3 linked regions of the Lytechinus pictus genome follow. The protein of the gene in region 2 interacts with the protein of the main gene of each other region in a pairwise test. Links are inferred from orthologs where the notes say so. Each region holds a gene or a part of one and is shown on either strand. Other genes may lie near its edges. The genes, in order: recombining binding protein suppressor of hairless-like, COP9 signalosome complex subunit 5 and histone deacetylase 11-like.

The links.
Region 1: the proteins of COP9 signalosome complex subunit 5 (region 2) and recombining binding protein suppressor of hairless-like interact in a two-hybrid assay, tested with the Caenorhabditis elegans proteins (3 studies listed by BioGRID). The link is inferred for Lytechinus pictus from reciprocal best matches to the Caenorhabditis elegans genes csn-5 and lag-1.
Region 3: the proteins of COP9 signalosome complex subunit 5 (region 2) and histone deacetylase 11-like interact in a two-hybrid assay, tested with the Caenorhabditis elegans proteins (2 studies listed by BioGRID). The link is inferred for Lytechinus pictus from reciprocal best matches to the Caenorhabditis elegans genes csn-5 and hda-11.

The regions. Positions count from the first base shown.
Region 1 is NC_087250.1:10,336,226-10,343,540, forward strand, and holds the start of recombining binding protein suppressor of hairless-like, read right to left. Parts: upstream 3,032-7,315; 5' UTR 2,665-3,031; intron 1-2,664. UniProt on the Caenorhabditis elegans protein: Transcriptional regulator that plays a central role in lin-12/Notch and glp-1/Notch signaling pathways, involved in cell-cell communication that regulate a broad spectrum of cell-fate determinations.
Region 2 is NC_087261.1:2,506,425-2,513,414, reverse strand, and holds the start of COP9 signalosome complex subunit 5, read right to left. Parts: upstream 3,047-6,990; 5' UTR 1,981-3,046; coding exon 1,847-1,980; intron 1-1,846. UniProt on the Caenorhabditis elegans protein: Probable protease subunit of the COP9 signalosome complex (CSN), a complex involved in various cellular and developmental processes.
Region 3 is NC_087247.1:25,632,783-25,640,601, forward strand, and holds the start of histone deacetylase 11-like, read right to left. Parts: upstream 3,047-7,819; 5' UTR 2,847-3,046; coding exon 2,752-2,846; intron 1-2,751.

The sequences.
Region 1 (7,315 bases), on a different chromosome or scaffold from region 2:
TTAATATGTACGCACGGACGTTCAGAAGAACAGCCATTGGCTGAAGTTCGTTTACCGTGTTGAAATAAAATAAATGAAAATTGAAAATGAAATGAAAATGATAGACGAACTGGTGATTAGACAAAGTGATGATTTTGGACTAAACGTGATGGTTTTGGACTAAATGGTTGTTAGACAAAATATTGATGGACGGAATGGCATTAGACTTTGAAGGTACATGTAGACCATGTGGTGAGTGGATGAGCTGGCAGTGGGCGAAATGGAAATTTTATACCCATACAAGACCCAGCAGACGAGCAAAATTTCAGGGGGGGGGGGCTCCATCCGTTTTCATCCGCACCAGAAATGGACAAAATTTGTGAAAATTTGCGAAAAGGACGGACATGGGCAGTATGTAGCGGGAATGTAATAAAAGGTTGTTCAACGGTAGCATTGCGGTTGGAAGTGGATGACAGCTCCAAATGGGTCACCGGGGAATAATTGCGAAGCGGACGCATTGCGGAAAGAGCAGATGCTTTGCGGTCGAAGCGGAAATCCCCATTCATTGCATGCAATGCTGCAGCTTATCCAATGTTGCAGATTTACATGCAGGCAGTACAGGGGCCGCGGAAGCGGGGGGGGGGGGGCTTCAGCCCCCCTTTTTTTCCAAAACCGTGTACAAAAAGTCAAAAACGTAAAAAGTACAATAGGATTGTGATTTTTTGCATGGTCAGCCCCCTCCATTTTTGGCTCAAGCCCCCCCCCCCCCCACTCTGAAAACTGTTCCACAGCCCCTGCAGTATGTTGTGAAAGCAAGCCCCAAAAAATGAAAACTTAATTTTTTGCCTCCATACAGTGATGATCAGACACATACTACTCCAATTTCATGCCCCCTTCTATAAGAAAAATATTCTATTAACTCATCGTGTTCCATCATAATATTGAAATTTATATTTGGAGGAACTGCTCATAGTCATACATACATGTATGACATCACAAATTAAAAAATTAAAAAATATAAAGAAAGTAAAAACCACCTCTCTTATTCTTTATTTTTCTCTATTTTTTATTTTTTAACCAACTTTTTTTCAGGGTGAATTTTTTTTTTTTTTATTAAAAAAGCTATAGATTATTAGCTGGTCTTCCCAGATCTGTTACGAGAAAATCAGAAATTCTCGACAAGCATCAAGAAATCGCCACTTTGCAGGCAGAGGTCTTCAAAGTAAGTAAAATGTGATACCAACCGATTTTATGGCATTCAACCTCCATCTGATACGGTACAATAACATGTATGTCTCCTACTCCTAGACTTCTTTTTAATTCAAAGCATTGCAAAAGTATCAAGCGCAAATTAAAGAAGAATGAAACTCTTGGAGCAAGTTAGCTTTTGTAAAAGCAGAAAAATCAAAGAACAAGATCAACAAAAGTGTGAGTAAAATAGGAATAGGACTAGCAATAGAAGAATTATGAGCATTTGAATGTCGAGATCACTAATGCTATGGAGATCCTCCTATTGGCAATGCGGCCAAGATCTATGATGTCACAGATGAACAACTCTCCCCTTTTGGACACTGAAAATATACCCAAAAACATCTCTTTTTGCTCATTCTAATCATATGACAAACGATTCATCAGTGATATAATGTTGTGAAACCTCTGTACTTGTCCTCTCATAAAGAGAACACCTCACCTTGTGATAGACTCTATGAAAGTGAGAATATAAGTGAAATAAGTACTAAAGTAATGAGGGAGTTGTACATGTGTGACATCACAGATCTTAGTTGCATTGCCAATGGGAGGATCTACATGGCATTAGTGATCTCAATATTCAAATGCTCATAACTTTCTTATTATTCATTCAATCTTCCTCAAACTTTCAACAATATGTTTCTTTGATTTTTCTCTTTGATCTGATTCAGCTGGTTTCAAGGGTTTCATTCTCCTTTAAGGTCACACTGATTCATGACACTTTTTCAGCCGAGCGCACAAGCTGGTTGATCGCCATAGAATTTTGAGATAACGATACCAGCAAAACAATGACCTTAATCCTTATTTTATAATTCCATCGAGCAATTTCTATTTCTAGTCTGGGATCTTGCCTTTCGTTATGGTATTTACGAGTTGATTATTTATGAATTGTGAGAAATTTTCGATTGAATATTAACTTAATGATAATTTTTAAAATGTGCGCAAGTTATGGTCACCCAGAAATGCTGTAACTTTTCCTCTCTTTTTTTAATCACACTACCGTACTGCCAAAATAATAATCGTGACAGAGACTAGACAAGAATAACCCCCCGTTCTGGGGATTACTGGGGATTTATTGAACAATTTCTGACATTTTAGTACTCTCTACCTGTGTCATAGCTTACCGTATAAGGATTACCAATTGCAATGTATAAAATCACCGCCAAGCGCATTGCAGAGACCAGAGTGCAGCGTAGTTCGCTCCTGCTACAATCAGCCGCAAGCGCAAGCCAGGCCCAGTGCATAGATCACGACCACTGCGTTGCACAGGGCCTGCACTTGTCACCCTCATCGGCATCGCATCATCACCATTCGCAAGTTCATCTCTCTCATAGTTAACCCTCTAATCTTACAAAACATGATCAAACGCTCTGAACATCATCCACAACAACCATTCTTCACTTCTAACCTTATAAGCAACGATAATCATATATTTACCGCATTAAATCCAATTATGACGAAAAGTTTCTGCACCACTTTTTACGGAGTCCTCTTCCAGCTCCAGACACCAACTTCGCGTTAATTTGGGCGAATCTTCTCACCCACTCGGCAAATTCCCACGATCAATTTGCGTAATACAATTTAGAAATACATTTATAGAAATTTGTATGAATTTAAATGGCGTTTCTAATTCTTTAAATATCATAAATAATTCTTAAATTCTTGTTAATATTTTAATAATACAAGTTACTACAAGAATATGAAATATTTTAAGAAAAATAATCAAATAACCAGCTGAAAATCGTCCACGAAAATCACTTGTGAAATTGGCAACCGCTTGTTTCGGTCCTGAAAAGCACACCGTGGGAACTTTACATAGTTGATTATGAGCCGTGGGAATGGCTGTTCCCATCGAAACTACCCTCCCCCTGGATTAGATAACGGGGTCAGACAAGGGCGACTCGGCCTTTGTTCGCTGCCCTGCAGTTGGTTTCGAACAATGCGATAGACCTCCTGTTTTTCCCATGCCCTACACTGTTGTGTGTCTCGGATTAAAATCTCAAACAAAACATCGCTACCCGTTCTCGAGTTGCCATTACTAAAGATTTGCAAGGAGGATATGTTTCGACCCCAAAACAACGTTGATCTGGGAATAGCTTACAGTTTATTTCAACATCGAGTAAAAAAAAGTTCATTCCAATGTTGACCTTGGCTTCCTCAGAGGGGACATGTGGATAAAAAGGCAAATGCCTAATTTGCATACAGATTTCCCAGGCAAGGCTGGTGGACGCGTCCATTATTTTTAGGGAGAATTATGAACCTGTCGTTTTAAATGAACTTCCCTAATATCAATATTTCTGACTAAAAGAATGATTGCCTGCCTTTAAGTCTTTTAACATTCTTATCCATACAGTTCTTTATGAATTATGCAGAACAATATATGTTTTCTATTTTTTAATTTAATTCTGTGGAACCCCATAATCGACTAGTCCATGATTGTGCAGCGACCATACCCAGGCACAAAGAAACTTCTTTTACATCTTCAAATTCCCAGTACACAATGGTTTCGGAACTGCGCGACCTAGTTGACAGTCATGTTCAGGGCAAATTGAACTTGTGTAAATGGGCGGAGGCGGCCCCTTCGATCAATTCTCTGAAGGAGAAAAAAAATATGGGACATCGTATCAGGCCATTATTGTCAAAAAAATGACACCACAGAGATCACGATTTTTGTCACTTTATTCTCCTTTCTTTCTCTCTGATTCTGAATGTGAAAAAAATGTAACAAAAATAATTATTTGTGAGATTGGAATGATTAAAAATATAAGAACAAAATCCACTAAATATTAATAAATAAAGAAGAAAAACGGATGAAATATAAATGAACAGTAATTAACAGTAATCTTTCTTATATCAGTATCATTATTATCGTTCATTTAAATACGATATAATTTGATTAAACCACCTTGACGTCAAAATTATAGGGGGCACGTCAGGACGGTGAGGGGATGAGCACCCCCCACCGTATTTCATTTTCTGTTATTTTTTATGATTTATTTGTTTGAGTATTGATTTCTTGATTTCAATGATTTGTTCATTCGTTTTTTATTGATTTTTTATGTATTCATTCATTTATTTGTTCTATTATTTATCTATTAATTCATTCATTCAATTACTTGAGCCTTTTTTTTTTTGCTCGGGCAGAAAATTACACCACTGCCCCGCACACCCATTTCGAGGAACCATTACTAAATTGGCTTTCCGTTTGTTTTTTTTTAATCATATTTTTACAGGCGTGTTTCAAGAATACATGATCACTAAAATAAAATCAGGTGTCAAATTAAAAAGTTCTATAAGACAATTAAGTCGATAAAAAAGAAAACAGTCATATTATACGGCATGGCTCATAGAAGGAATGATGACATCACATGTTGTCTTCTGTCTTATTAATTGGTCTTGTATAAATGACGTCATCTCATCTGTATAGGTTATTTTGCCAACAAATATAGCACATGCCACCGCCCCTGTCGATAAATCAGTAACTGCAAATAAAAAAAATATAAAAAAAACAGAGGTAGCATTTCTGAGACAGCGGCCTGCCCGGAATAAACTGTTTCGGTATATCTGCAGACAGGATACACTATAATAAATTTCTCAAAACAACTAGCATTTCCCCCCATTTTATCACGGGGGGGGGGGGGGGCAGTCAAATGTATTGCTGTACACACGCGTGGCCAAATTATTTCCAAACACCCCCGAGTTTTTCTCTGTGTGCAAAATAATCCCCTACACAAGTTTTCGCAGGCTTTATATACACATTTTGGCCCCTAAACAAGTTGTTGCCAGAATATGACCCCGGGGAAAAAGCTTGGAGGGAAAATACCCTAAACACGTTTGGCTAGCCTTAACAAAAAAAAAAGCTTTTGAAAAAAACATTCCCTAAATTTATACATTTCACCCTGCAATTGACCATTGACCAGTCTTTCAAAACTATACTTTTTTTAATCGGTGTTTTTGATACCCTTAAAGGGATGGTCCGGGCTGAAAATATTGATATCTTAATACATAGAGTAGAATTCAATGAGCAAAATGCCCCCGGCCCAAATTTCATCAAAATCGGATAACAAATAATAAAATTATTGAAGTTTAAAGTTTAGCAATTTGACTTATTAATTAGGTGGGCTGATGATGTCACATCCCCATTTTCCGTTTTCTTATGTTATTACATAAAATCATAAATTTTTCATTATTTCATACTTGTGTGAATAATATGTCTCCCTTAAAATGAAATAAGTTGCAGCAATGAATATTAGTGCATTATTGCTGCAAGAATTGTCAATCCAATTTTTCTAGTTCTTGGAGGAAAAAATTTGAATAAACCTAATTTCATATACTAAAATACAAAAGAACAAGTGTGGATGTGACATCATCATCATTAATATTTGACACTGGAAAAAAAATGAATATGTTGAATTTATTGTAGAAGCTTATTCGTAATGTATAATTATTATTATCTATAATTATGTATTGGAAGATGTCTGATGTTGTGTTTTATTGTAACACTTAAGAAAAATAGTGTTAAATTTATGAGTTGTCAAGGTGTTAATGAATTTGTAAAGACATCAAACTTCTATTTGTTTGTTTTTTTATTTTGTATATGAATTGAAGTTGTCATTAAAAAATACTTAATACAAAAAAACTTTACTGGGGTGGACTTGACCTTTAAACATCGGTACTATAATTCTCGTCATCGAACTTCATAATGGGATTGCTCCTAAACTGTATACCGCCATCTCGTGTTGAAGATTCTAAATCATCTCAGTTTTACGATCGATGATTGCTTTGTTTTTTTCCGTGTGGAGATCTCAATGGTGTCGGGTGAATCATAGAGATATATTACTAATTTGATTTCAATACACTACTGGGACGATGGAACAGGATATTATTTTATTTCGGGGGGGGGGGGGGTAGAGATAAAAAAAAATCCTAAACAAAAGCTCATTTTATTAAATACTCCAGGCTGACAATATTCATATTCAATAAATATAAATAGAGTAAAATTCACAAAGCAAAATGCGGAAAATTTGATCAAAATCGGATAACAAATAAAACAAAGTTATTGGATATTTAAGATTTGCATTATTCCGGTGAAACAGTTCTTGGCATGTCTTCGTAAATATTCAGTGAGCAAAATGACGATGTCATATCCCCAATTGTTCTTTTGTATTTTGAAGTTAGGTTTATTCAAATTGTTTTTCTACCAAGCACTAAATCAATTGGATTGACAACTGATTAAGTGCATTAGTTATTTATTGCTGCAACTTATGATAATGGAGACACTTTATTAACACAGTCATGTAAGAGAAAATGAAACAATTATAATTTCATGTGATAACATAAGAAAAAGGAATGTGGGGATGTGACATCATCAGCCCACCTAATGAATATTCATGATGACGTGCATATTAACTGTTTTCACAATAATATCGCTAAACTTTAAATTTCAATAACTGCGTTATTTGTTATCCGAATTTGATGAAAATTGAAGCATTTTGCTTTGTGAATTTTACTCTCTTTGAAATATTTTCAGCCCGGAGTATCCCTATCGGGGGGGGGGGGCAGTGCTGTAACCTACCCCGAAAATACCTGGGAGGGGTCCCATTGCCCCAGCATAGTTCAATTACTAGTACAATAGAAATAGGTTTATCCACCAGCACTCTTGGTTTTTTTTAAGGGGGGTATGCGATTTTTTCCCCATTTTGTTTGGCATTCCTTTAGCAACCAATCCCCATCCCCCTTGATGAAGTGAGTAAACTGTTACCCCATTAATAATGTCTTCTCTAAGAAATTGTTTACAGTTCACATTTTCTCTGAAGTTTGACAAGCACCAACAAAGGAGAAAAGAAGAAGACAAAATAATGATCAAGGAAAGTTCACAAATCTACAATGGGGGGGGGGGGGGGGGGTCATTATTTTCCATCCATTGGGGAACTTAATCATATTAAGTCCTTTGGAATCACAATGAGACGTTAAATGGTATGTGATACATGTTATATAACAACTGAATATTGTTATTAATCTTATCAAGTGATGGGGGGGGGGCAAACAATAACCCAAATTTTAAAATTTTAAATTTGTGTCGTCAAAG
Region 2 (6,990 bases):
TGAAACCTTCTTCTTCCTCTCAGAATACAGACCACCTTCTGGTGTTTTATCGTACCATTACAGGTTTTGCCGGGAACTGACAGGTACGAATGTATTTTGATAGCTACATGTAGCTTCAGTCCATATATAAAAAGGCAGAGAAGACGAAGTGCAAATGAAACTTGAAGTAGAACCATAACATCAATATTGAAGCCAATGCGTGATGTGGTTTGAATTCTGTCGACAATGCACCGACAGAGATTCATCATAGCGACTGTGAAATCTGCGCAAATATTTGGCTAATTAGAGCTTGGAAAAAAGGGGTGAAAATTTCATAATTCTGCGGTTAATGAAATCTATTATTAGCGCCAACATTCCTCAAGGCAACAGCTGTGCACAGCTCAACCCTATTAAACAACCATTAGATCTTTTGCTAAATAAACAAAAGGTGTTAGTCTGATAAATTCCAAATAGATGTCTATAATTTCATGCTCAGATGATTTTAGGAATGCCAGTTAGAACCTTGCACCTTGAAGAAATAATCCCTTTTGCAGCTCATACTTGAAGCTAAACTGGGATGGGTGCATGTGCAGTCAATGGCCGACAGTGACGTTGGATGTTGGAGGTTATTTACAAAAAAAAAGGTGGAGGGTGCAAGTAAAAACATGGCGATTCGGTTTACAATATCAACCGAAGTCCAGCAGGTGGCTGCAAACTTTTTGAGTTTTGTTTGATTACAACATGACTTAATTCATTACTGGAAGAATGTTGTATGGTGGTGTGACCTTAATTCGCGCGTTACCTAATTTTGCGCACAGTCGAATATCTCTTTATCTAATTAATATCTTGAAAAACTTATATAACCAACAGAAAAGCCACCCAAAATTATCCAGTATGGTAATTTTGTTGAAGGCAAGGTCTCAATTTGTGAAAATATTGGCAAATCATTGGGGAATTTTGTTACCTTTTACGTCCGCTCCGAGAAAATCTGATCTTCTCGACAATCATCAAGAAATCGCCAGTTCGCAAGCAGAGGTCTCCAAATAAGTAAAATGTGATACCAACCGAATTTATGCCATTTTAACCTCCATCTGATATAATTATCTTACGTTTGTCTGTTTGATTTCTTTTCTAAAGCTTTGCAAAATGATCGTGCGCAAATTAAGGTCACACTTTTTAATGGCAAGTTTTCAGCCAAGCACGCACTAGTCGATCGCCATGGAATTTTTAGATCGCGATACGAGCGAAACCCTTGACCTACTTTATAATTTCATCAAGCGAATTTGACTTTGGGATTTTGCCTTCCATCTGGTATTTATGATTTTGATTAATTTTGTGTGAACTATGAGAATTTTTTGACTGAAAATCAACTTCATGATAATTTTTAAAATGTGCGCAAATTATGGTCACCCCATCATACATATCAACAGCTGAGCTTCCAGGAACATCTTCTTATCATTTACCCAAATCACAAATGAGAAGCAGACAATGTTGACGCATGATCAGCTCAGGTAAAACAAAACTTCATTTTCAAAATCATCAATCATGAATCATCATAAAAAAGACACAGACAGTGCAAAGACAGAAAGACAAAGGAAAAATAACTGTAGGGCCTATGCTATTCCTCAGTCATTCTTGTTTATTAATCTACTACTAGGTCTAGGGTTTTTTTTCCATGGCTATTCCCCCTGTCAATGCCAAAGTCAGAAGTTAGCCGTGCCATGGCCATGGCGTGCGAAGAAAAAGTGTTTTTGTAGAATTGTGAAGTGGCCGGCCAAGGCAAGCCAGTGGCAAGCCTATCCCCTCTTAAATTTACAACACAGATTGCAACGGTTGGGACTAGTCTGACTGTGGGAGGACAACTTACTCTTTCGACCATGGTTTTGCTTGCAGTATCTCGTGTTGTTGTTTCTTGTCGTACTTGTAAATCTCATCAACATTTTGAACAAGTTCAACGTTATTAGACATTTCCCATGTCTTTTGGGCTATCTCACGATCCATGTCACCTATTTTCTTCAGAATTTCGCAGAGAGAAAAGTCAAGGTCGTCACTGGAGTTAGCCCATAGAGATGTATACTAATTATATCTCTATGAGTTAGCCCCTATTTTTCTGAAATTAATAATAATAAAATAGGCAAAAGAGAAAAGAGAAGAGAAGCAAAGAGAAGAAAAGGAAAGAAAAAGAAAAAGAAAAGAAAAGGAAAGAAAGGAAAAGAATAAAAGGAATAAAAGGAAAGGAAAAAAGGAAAGGAAAGCTAGAAAGAAAAGGAAACAAAAAAGAACAGAAATAGATAAAACAAAAAAAAAAATGAAAAGAAGAGAGAAAAAAATTCATAGAAGATATAAAGAGAAATGAAAAAAAAAATAAGGGAATAGAAAAGAAACAAACTGAAGGAGAGAACAAAAAAAGAAACTATATATCATTTTTTACAGCTTTGATTGGCAAAATAGTCATGATATATGGTTGCCATTAAAACCATCAAGGAAAGAGAAAGAAGGGGGGAGAACTATAAAATCTGAATCTGTTTGATTTGGTTTCGTTTTTGAGGGGCTTTTTTGTGTGTGTTTTTTAATGCCAAATACATGCAGATCGATGACCAGTATCTAATGAAAGCATATTGGTGATCAAGCTCAGTGACAATTGTAGTTGCAAGCCTGTAATATATTTTTTCTTTCAAATTCTTTTCTTGTCCGCAAAATGAAATAACAAGTCACCATTTCTTTGTCAGGCATCGTTTTTTTTCTGCTACTTGAGAAAATTTGACAAATTGACCCCCCCCCCATGCATCCCACAATATTCATTACATTACAAGAAATTAATTTTAACTTTCAAAATTTCTGACAAATGCCTTAACCATCTGAGGGGTCAGCATGATGATGAAGATAAATAAGGGGTCAGTAAGTTTTTTAAATGCCCTTCTAGATCTGTCAAGTAAAAGAAAAAAATGATTAACTTGAAAAAATGGTTGACATTGTCATCCAAGAAATTTTGACAAGCAGAAAGAAAGAAAGCAGTTCTAATTTGACCAGCTCTGCCTTTTTTATGTGGACCCCCGCCCCCCCCCCCCCCAAGAAAAAAAAATGTTAGGTATTAAATATGAAGAAGGGATTGTCCAAGTACATTCTTCAATATAACATATACACTATTCATACATAATCATTATAGTTGCATTTTTTTTAATGATATTAATCACAGTTCCGCTACCCAAGTCAGTAAAATTTGGAACTGAGGAGACACATAATGTATAACAAGGAGATACAACTGAGGGATGCTACCTGTGTCATTACCATAAGTTACTTACTATACATATGTTGTTACATAAAAAAACATACAGACAAAAACGACTCAAAATCCACTGAACTTTTATGATTACACAAGCACACCATGCTATCACATCGAGGCGGGTTTCAAATGGTGATACAGAAGTGATTACAGGGGTGGGTCTAGCGTTTTACAGAGGGGGTTTGACCGAGAAATTTGACAAGCAAAAAAAAAAAGACTTCAGTACAAAATGAAGGTCAATTTGGTACCAAGAAGTTTGACAAGCAAAAAAAAAGGAAAAAGAAAACAACTATGAAATTAGGTAATTTGGGGGGGTTGGCTCAAAAATCTTACTTGTTTTTTACTTGGCAGCTCAATCTGAAGACCATATAGGCCAACTTTTCTGCCTTGCGGTCTGTATTCATCTATTTATTGGGGAAAGGGGGGGGGGTGCTGTGTTGATCAAACCAAAGTTTTTTCCTCATAATATTTGCTCTTTTAACATAATGCTCTTAAATGAGGAACAGGGTCCTGTAAAGACTTGTTATAATAGCAAATACACAATATCTATACCAAATAGACTATCAACCAATCAGATTGAAAGATTTCAGTGACTTTTAACTGTTATTGCAAATTTGCTATTATAAAAAAGTTTTACGAAACAGGCCCATCAATTAAGTAAAATTTCTAATTTGCTATCGAATACAAGACAGCTTATGCATAATTGCACACCAGAAACAACACATCACATAATATTTTTTCTCATTTTTAAGAAAACAGTATCACTGTCTCTTTAATTAATATTCTTTAATTTCATTGTCACAAAAGAAATTGCTTTATCAAGTACTTTTAATCAAGTTCATTTATACATGTACGCATACTGAACATTAAATTATACTCACAACCGACTGATCTATACAACTTTTTAAGACACTTCTATTATAAACATTTGGAATCACACACACACATTCTAATTGTAAGCCATTCATTAGGAATTCTCACAATAATCAAGGTTTCAGTAAAGTCACTTTTCAGTACTTAGCACAAAATATATCTTGAATAATCACAGCTAAATTCATTCACTTTTTTAGTAGTACCCTCAACCGTGGCACTTCATACACCAGAAGGCTGTTTCATAAAGCTGATTGTAATTTAAGAATGACTTTATAAATGACATACACAAAGTTGTGCATGACTTACAAACATCTTTGTGAAACTCCATCCCCGACTCCTGAGTGGCTATTGACAAACTTCTGGATAACGATATCCGTAATACTACCCCCCCCCCCCTCCAATGATATTCACCTTCTTGTCATTTATAAAATACATGTACAGCCTCATGATATCACACGAAAAAATTTATTTTGAAAAAAATAGGTTGCAGGATATCTTTATCTAAAGTTGATTCAGAGCCTCCTAGGGCTGATCGCACAAAAGAGCTTTGCAAGGACCGTCTTTCGTGGTGCTGATTTAATTACATTACTAGAAAGCGCCTCATACAGCGCATGGGTAACACGAAAGACCGGTCCTTGCCAAGACCCTTGCGTGCCCCTTGTATCTAAAGTCACCACGGCTAACGGTAATAATTCAAAATAAATATTGATATGTCGATAAATATTTCCAATTGAAGAAGACATTGGTAGAAGAATTCTCAATATGATATATCACAAGCAAATAAATATACAATGAATACTTCAACAATTACACATTTCTTGGCAAAGACTTCCCTGGAATACAATATGCTCAATTACATAATTCTCTATATAACATCTGTGTAATATTCCATATAAAGTTGGAATTTTGTTACCAAAAATAATGTTAGACAATAGTGGCGTCTGAATGCTCTAAACCAACAAGTTTGGAAGGTTGAACCGTTGTCAACACACAATGGCTTGCCCTTCCAAACCTTTGCCTGACCTGGTGGGTGTTTCATAAGGCTGATCGTAAAGTTATGAACGACTTTACGCACGACTGGAACAAGTTCTTAGGTCATAACTCAATTACATACATGTATAGATATCACATAGCACAAGAAAGGATCACCAGTCGTGCGTAAAGTCATTTGTATCTTACGATCTGCTTTATGAAACACCCACCCGGCCCTTGTTTCATAAACAGTTTACAACTACACCTACGATAGCTTTTAGATTATTGTAAATACCATGGTAATCTTGATTGTGATTGGCTGCTGAGCCCTGTAACCATTGTTGTTCTAAAGGAATAGTTACCCTAGCTTAAATTCTTATGAAATGGCCCCAGAGTGCTCTGGCGCCACTGTGAAAGAGTGAGCAACTCCCTTCCCCAGACCCCCAGAGTGAATAGGAAATGCCTCATGTATGATCAGAAGATCAGACACTAGACTAGAGATTTCAATGTTTTCTGTAGTCTACCCCTGCTTGGTTATCTCAAAATGAACTAACCCTTTGCCTACAAACTAAAATATAAATATTCTGTCCAAGATTTGGGGAATGCTGAATGATAACTTTGGTTTATGGCTTGATACAACTGGAATGTCAATTTCAAAGAGGACGAACAAAACTTAACTCAAGGTACCTTAAATAAAAGCCCGAGCCACTGTGTGTACAGGTATTGTGGTCCAGTGGATAAGTCTCCACAACTGAATCACAAGGTTTCAGGTTCAACTCCCTGCTGCAGCACTAATGTCTCTCAGCAATACATTCATCAATAATTGCATCATTTATTCATTATGTACCTGGCAAAAATGAATTCCTTAAAATGCTTGTGTACTCTATAGTCTATAAACAGCTTCCAACACTAAGTCAAAGGTATAACAAAAGTCCTTTGGAAGCCCATAGAGACATTAGATGATGCGGCTTACATCAGAAAATGTTACATTCAGCAAATTTTCCACTTCTAATCCCCAAATTCTGCATAGCCAAGGCAATGGGGAATAGGGATAACTGCCCAGTATTCGAACATGTGGTAAATCAAAGGATGCATCTATTGTTAAAATACTGTTCAAAATATTTTGACTTCACATGTTATTCTACTATGTCCAAATCTGAAACACAAGTTGCATACAATGAAGCTTTGTGGCGATTTCCTGGTTTAAATTTATCTTTATTCCCTATAACTTTGCAACATACTTGTCATTTTAAGATGGTAATTTCTGCATAATCAAAGACTTCATCTTGCTCATTCTATGCTTGGCAGATACGTACCAAATAATTGCCTATGTGGAAGCTAGATTGTGAAAAGTATGTGATGTATTTACCTTTTCACATCAAATTTCTTCTACATCAAACACAAATTTCGGTGGTCCAAAGAGTTTTGACTTAGGCAGACTTCCCTGTTCGAAAACCTTAATAGTAATAATTATTCAAATTCATATCATATAGACAAAAAAACGATACGTGTTTTGCACACAGAATCAATCTTTGTTAACATTCAAATGAATTTAACGATGGGGAGATATTTTGACAAGGTCTATATAACTACTCCATAATACAGACAAATGAGAACCAACATGCACATACTGATCTGTATACGGTAACACTGCTTTTTGACAGACATCCATTTAGACACTCTTTCTTAAATTTCAAACTAGTAATTTTTTTTTTTTTTTGCTATTGTTTTTTTTGGGGGATGGTTCTTCAGTATCTTATTTGTTCTGAAGCGCGTTGTGCATCTCATTACGACAGAAAGTGATTTATATAAATCTAATACATAATATTATTAACCTGTTGACATTGTATACTAAGAAAAATGAAGATTAAAGAGAAATAATG
Region 3 (7,819 bases), on a different chromosome or scaffold from region 2:
CTCTTAATACTGTACATGCAATTACATTTGGAATTGAGTATAAATGGCAGGAACCATCAAGAAACAGTAAAAGTCAACTCTGCCTACAAAGTATACATGTACTTTGCATACATGTTTAATAGTTAAATAATTAACTACATATAAGTTGATGGACTTTCATTTGAAAAAAATTTAGTTTAACCTTTAGTTTAACTTCTCATAATTGAATGCAAAGTGGCCAATTTAGCCATTGAGAAGTTCAGTGTTGTAGCCAATGCTACACATATTGGCTTTCTCTACAACAACTGGTTTCCACTTGCACCTTTAACACTAGTGTGTTGTAGGCAAGGCATAGCCTGGATCCTTAAAGGACAAGTCCACCCCAACAAAAAGTTTATTTGAATAAAAAGAGAAAAATCCAACAAGCATAACACTGAAAATTTCATCAAAATCTGATGTAAAATAAGAAAGTTATGACATTTTAAAAATTTTCGCTTAATTTCACAAAAAGTTATATGCACATATATCCTGGCTGGTATGCAAATGAGGAGACTGTGACGTCATCCACTCACTATTTCTTTTGTATTTTATTATATGAAATATTATAATTTTCTCCTCATTGTCAAGTGATACAACAATTAATTCCTCCCTGAACATGTGTAATTAGCATTGTTTAATACTATATGGTTCAGTCAAGTTGGTCCTTATTGTCAAATCTATAAAAAATGAAATATTGTATAATTCAAACAATAAAAAACAAAAGAAATAGTGAGTGATGGACATCATCGACTGACTCACCAAGTTGTGCATATCACTGTTTTGTGAAAAATAAGGAAAAACTGATAAATATTTTTGCAGATTAGGTGGTCGATAAGGGGTAGTTCCAACCATACATGCCTTTGTTCGTTTGTCAACAAACGGTATACCAAAGTCTATAGATCTACAATGAAAAGACTGAACATATTGCCGACTTGCATGACACTTTGCATTGATTTGCTAGTAAAATAGTTTGAGTGCCTCATCTTTTCCATGATGTAGTGTCAATTGTGCACCCTCTTAAGGTGAAAAATTCCTATATCGCTTTGACAGTTAAATGGCTCTCGTCAACATCAAGAAAAATCATTTGGAAAAATCAAGAGAAGGATGAAAAAGCGGGAAAGTGACTTCATATTGTTCGGTAAGTTTATAGTTTAAATCTATTAATGTAGTGATTAGGCATTGGAATTTCACACAATCCCATGGACGTGTTACATGCGTTGTGCCTGTGATTTTCTATGCGCAGCGCATGTTGTTTCCATGGGTGATTCAATGACTGAACATGAGTGAATGAGGCCACTGATGCAGGCCACTGATGCAGCATGCACTAAACATACCCTGTGTTTGGTAGTGGTACAGTATATTCGAGTGCGGAGTGCGGACATATCAGTGTTCGCATTTCAGACCATTGAGATCTAGATCTAGGGGACTTTTCTTTTTTTCCTCATTTGGGGCGTTGCAAGAAACTTGCGATCAATTGCAAGTCTATTTTCGTTCCCGAAATCAATCATACGCCATGCAATTAATTGATTGCTCATCTGCTCCATGAAACAAGGAGTGTAATCTGATTTGTTAAAGCTAAATGAACGTAGTTGCAGTAAAACACTGATTTCGTGAGAAAGTCTGTAAAACCAAGGTAAAGTATTGATATATCATCGTGGATCTAGATCTGGTACAGTTACATAAACTGAACTTTGTGGAATCATAATATCTAGCTAAAAAAATGATCACACTGAAGATCGCCGACACAGATAGGCACACGTGGGACAGTGTATTATTATTGCTGGAATAAAGACCCGAAGGAAGTGACCGAATCCGCGCTTATTTTGCTTATTTCTCAGCAATTACACAATTTCTTCCAGAATCCTTTGGCACATATTTTTTATTCATACAAACAGACACTTTGGTGATCATTATATTAAATTCTGTAAAAAGTCATTTTGAGATCATTCCCACAACTGGAATTTATCTTTAAAAGTGATCAATCAACTGTAGAATTGCAACAGAATATTTGCGATTGCAATTATTTTCTTGCAACACCCCCTATTCATGTTCCGCACCTTCCCACAAAATACACACCCCTTTTCCCATGTTTTCTTTGTCGCGGATGCTGTCACTGTACTGTCCAATGGCAGGTATCTCCGCCCACCCCCCCTCCATCAATCATCTAAAAACATGACACTATTTTCTTGACTCTGAGTTTTAATGTCACAATTTTTAGATCTTGATTCTAGACTAGACCTATAGTCATCCCTAGCCAGGAGCTGCCATGGGCAGAAATCCCAGGGGGGACGTGTCCCCCCTACTCAAAATAGTAGGGGGACACAATATTATCAAATGTCCCCCCTACTAAGTACTATTTGTGGTCTTTTATGATGGTAAGAAATACATCATTAAAAATCGAAATAAAACATGTATTTTAGGACGAGATGACCTTACTTTTGGGATGATACCTTTTTTTTTTTTGCTTGTCAAATTTTCCAGCCCTGCCTTGTCCCCCCTACCTTTTGGGAAAGATTTCCGCCCCTGGCCAGGAGGCTCCTAATGTTAGAGAGTAAAAATCATTCACTAACATATTGTAAGCTCACGTTATCGTTTAATAATAGTGAATTATTTTACTCCCTAAAAATTAAAATAGGCGGCTCTAACGTTAAAAGAGTCTAATCATCTCCAGAGTCCAGACTCCATTTATGATTTTGATTTTTTTTTTGTCAGAATATTTCTCGTGTTTCTTACCAATGTTTACTCTCTCTATTCCCATTCCTTTCTCCTTCGGTTAATACAACTTCTCCGTCTGTGGTTTTTAGCAAACTGTCTCCAGATTCTGCCATATTTGTAGAAATTGTAGACCTATACGGAACATCGTTGGTAGCACCTGAACCAAAATACGTCGCAATATATGCAATCTAGCGAAAATCAGACAATCGTGATCGGGGCCGCGCTGGGCCCGGGTTTTGGAAAGGACCGTTCGTTAATAACTCGCACAGGCCACAGCTTTTCCGTATGTTCGCCAAATTTACGGTACCGTACTAATGAATATTCATGATTGACGTCATGTACCTGTCAATGGATGTCATGTAAACTCTCGGTAAACCAAAACTCTCCACCTCCCTTTTCTTGATATTATAATTTTAATTCATTATTTTATTACATAAATGTTGGCTAGGATTCATTCCTTTTTCAATCAAACTAAGATTTTTTGGAAAGCTCACTGCACTCACGACTACAGGCATGTGGGGTCCATTATGGGGGCTCTCCTTCTAAGCGGGGAGGGTCGGCCTTCTCAACCCTGAAAATGTATATTTTTTATGCACATACACAAAAATGAATATTGTTTTGTGTATTAATATAAGTATGCAAGTTTGTATAGAATGATAATGAAATGAATCTTAGTTTCAAGCAAGCATAATTGTTATTTTTATTGTTTAAACACGCTGGATAAAAAAAAAAGATGCGTAGAAATAATCTAGATTCATAAAACTTTTTAATGGATTCCTATCTAGGCCTATATTTTATAGCAAAATAATGGTCGAAAGTTATAACATAATTATATCAGCTTGATTATGTATCTCTTATCACGCAGTTTTTAAGGGCTTTCGTCTTTTAATTATTTTCTTGTAAGAGTTAATTGGAGGCGGGGCTCTGTCATTGGAAATGGGCAAAACATATAGGCCTATGGAGCAAGATTTCTAGAATGTTGCAAGCGAGTGAAGCAAGCGAGCAAACATTTTGACGTTCTTTAATATGATAAGCATATTTTGTGTTAGATTCCAACAATTTGAAAAAATTATTTCACCCTTTTCCCATTTTTAAAAAAATCATTTTTGCTTTTGGTGATAGGAAATTTGGGGAGGGGACCTTGGAATATATTTGGACCTTCAAGACCGTATCATAAGCAAAATAATATATATGCTATTTTCACCAAATGACCCAAAACTCGGCACTTGGAACCCTATCAATAAGAGATTCAATGAAGGGGCATTTTTGTGCAAGATTAAATAGCCCCCCCCCCAAAAAAAAAAAAAACACACACACACACACTTGATACCTCTACTCCTGAAGAAAGGCCCCATTCAATGGAATGTCTCACTTTAGGCCCTTTGGTTACCGTGTCGTGGGTAAATGTACTAATTTCTACTAAAGTGCCCTAATTGATTCCTGCGTGGGTTCAAAAGTTTCACAAGATAAACTCAAAATTTCTTACACGGTCGTTACGCTCTCTCGCAGGCATATAACATACATTCATCTCTTTACTACAATATCAATAGTACTGTTATGTATTGTGTTGTACATGTAGGTACAACGCTCATGTTGACGGGCGAAAACTAAATTATTATTCTTGCCCTTTTCCACAGCGCTTTTGGGGTTTAAAATTCTAAATTTCATTTATGAAATAGTAGACTTTCTTTCGGTCTCTAAACTTATGTATATCATAATTGTCCCTTCGATGCAGGGTATCTTTTTAAGGTAAAAATAATGGTATAAGTTTCACTGATTAAAACGATTTTCTGGCTCGGTTGCTACGCCTCTCGCATCTAGGATGCCGTCACATTACCCCCCCCCCCTGCATGGGTTTCCATCATACTTAGGTGTGTACTATGCGTTTCAGTTTCACTTACGGTACGACTGTTATTATAAATTGAAATCGCCTGTAAAATTAAATGGAATTTAGCTTCTGCATATCCTTCTCCTGATCGGTTGATTCAATTACAGGTATATAGCAACCATCTCATTTAATAAAGACAATCGAACATCCTATCAAAAATTTGGATTATTGACCCTGATTAAGAATATTAACCGTCTTATTTGCTTGTGAATATATAGCGACCCTCTCATTAAATTATGACTAGCAACTCTCTTATTTGATTAATATTATCGACCATCTTATTCAATTACAATTATTGACCCTCTCATGTGATTATGAACAGCGGCCTTTATGAATGAAGGCCCCTTTTCCGATTACGACTATAGCGATCTTCAAGAATAGCGGGTGTAGAACCCCGTTTCAACACCGTCAAATAAGTCTAATGTACTCATTGCTATCTACTGAAGATAAAATTGAATGTTATCTTCAGTAGATAGCAAGGAGTATATATTCAGCCAACTGACCAGTTAGTTTCATTGGACCGCACGGCAATCATTAATTTTGCATGAACGTGATTTCAAAACAGTTTTTAGTATTGTACTTGTTTCGGACAAGGTGTTATGAAATTGGAAGTAATTACATCAAGCTACAAAATATTTACTCCTGATCTAAAAGTCATTCTTTTGAAGCCGATGCTACATGTAAGGGGGATTTAAAAGGGCAGAATATTATTTATTTAGATAAGATAAATATTATTATGTGATATGAATACCAGTCGGTGGCGGTGCGGCGGAGCTAAGTTAAAAGTGGGGGGCACAGGGGAAACGGGCACCTTTTCTTTCGAAAAGGGCACTATCTTAAAACAAAGAAAAAAAGACTTATCTACCCCCACTCACATGGCTTATGAAACTTAAGACACGCGGGATTATTCTTACAAGTGTTTTCCTTCATGAGTAGTTATACATATAAGGGGCACTGATTCAAGAAAGGGCACTTACAAGAAGGCAAGGGGGCACTCTTTAACACATAAAACGGGTCTTTCTCAGGTGAAAAGGGCAAAGAACACGTTCGTGAGGGGCAATTTTGGGTAAAAATGGGCACTAATGCGAGAAATGGCACTTGCTAACACATAAAACAGGTCCTTCTCAGGTGGAAAGGGCACAAAACATATTCAAGAGGTTTTTTTTTAATTGGCACTTATATTAAAGAGAAAGGGCACTTGGTAACACCTAAAATGTGTCCGCATGTGAAAGGGGCACAGTACATGTTTTTGAGGGGGCATTTTTCTCGCATAAAAAGGGCACTTTTTCAGTGCTTCAAAAAGTTGAGGGGGGCTGTGCCACAGTCCCGCTAGGATCGCCGCCCCTGGTACCAGTCCTCACTACACTTAGTAGAATATCCGAAATTATTTTCTTCATTTTCTTTCAAGCTCTTAAAAAAGTCAAAAATGTCATCTTCACAAAATTCATTATGCTGACATAGTGACAAAGTTCTTATAAAGTCGATGTAGAAAGATAAGTTATGTTCATATGTCAACGTATAAATTTCCAGAAGTTTACTTTATCATTTTACTCTCTATGATGTGACAACATCTAAGTCTCTAAAAGTCGACTTGGAGAAATGACTTATGTCGCCATGACGACCTATAAACCTTTTTGAAGTTTACTAAATTGCCATTGCGACATGTAACTGTCTAAAAGTCGACTTGGTAAGACGTCTCCATGGTAAGATGTATGATTTCGAAGTCGACATGGCAACATACTCAAATTATAGTTGGCAAATTGCCATGTAGTGCTTGGCACGATAAAATATAGACGGCACTTACAAGCTTCCGTAATTTTCTGTTTCTCTTCACTCCCTTTTTTGTGTGTTTGAGGCGATGTGTGGTACGAGATTTGAGTTGATTTCATTGTTTTCTTCTTCAATCATAACATTCATATGTAATACATGTTTCATTACATAACAAACATAATATATTGCTTAGTGTTTTTTGGCATGAATCATTAAAAAAATGAACTACATAAAAAGTCATTCGAAACAGATCTGATCTACTACCAAATAATTTCAACATATACAGTTTGCAGGAGGATTGTCATTGTTGCTTTGAACAAAAATGACAAGCCCGGATTAACACTCATTAAATTGATTAAAACATTTATAAAGCAGAATGGCAATATTTGTTTATAATTTTAATGATGAAGATGGAGATGGTGAGGATTAGGATGACGGTGACAATGGTGAAAATGAAGGCCATGATGATGACGATGGTCATTGGAGAGTGTTTGGTGATGATAAATCAAAGGAAGAGTGAAGAGAGATTGGTTAGAGTTTGAATGTGTGAGCGTGTGCGTGAGAGGGGAAAAGGAAGCCTTTCTGCTTATTATTGTTAGCGTTTTTATTTAATTCTTCTTTAGTTTGTTTGATTTTTCATTATTATTAAGGAGCATTTTTTCAGTGAGAATTTGCTTCCAGAGCTATGTCCTTCCGTGATAATGACAACCCCCGTAAATGCATGTGCAGCTGGGTGTATGTTTATGTCATATATTTTGTTAAGGGGACATGAATTTTATTTTGTTGATTTAATCATGTACGATGCGTTTCACTTTTCTTAGGGGGCAGAAAAGGTTAAAAATGTGTTTCAAGTATCAGATTTTCAGGGCAGGCTTTCACAAATTCTTGAATAAACCTTAAAACATTCATTGATTGAATCTTCCGAAAACTGACAGGCCAGATCACAATTCCTTCATTCTATCTTTCATGGCCCTTAGCTCCTAAAATCATTCAAAGCTTCCTTTTCCTGACAGTATATCTTAAATTATACATGACTGAATCGTTAAATTTCATGACTTTTGTCCAGCCGTTCTTGTCACCTATTTAAACTCAAACATGTTTGTTGGTTTTGGGGGACGAGTAATCAATATAATGCTTTTGGCGTAAACCTTTCAGATTGTACCGCCATACAATACTGTTTTGAATGAATTAAACCGATACCTGGTAACTTTACCGATATTTTGGCAATGTTAAAGTGAAATTCTATTTTTTTTCACCCGTTTAACAGCATGATAAAGCAGAAAATCTTAAAAAAAAAAAAAAAATAAAACATTTTTTTATAATAATGTTGATGAATACAGAAAAGCTTCAAAAGAGTGGTTATCTAAACATGATTGAATGACTGAGTGTCCTTTCTTGTTATCCATCATTTTCTCTACTATCCATTAA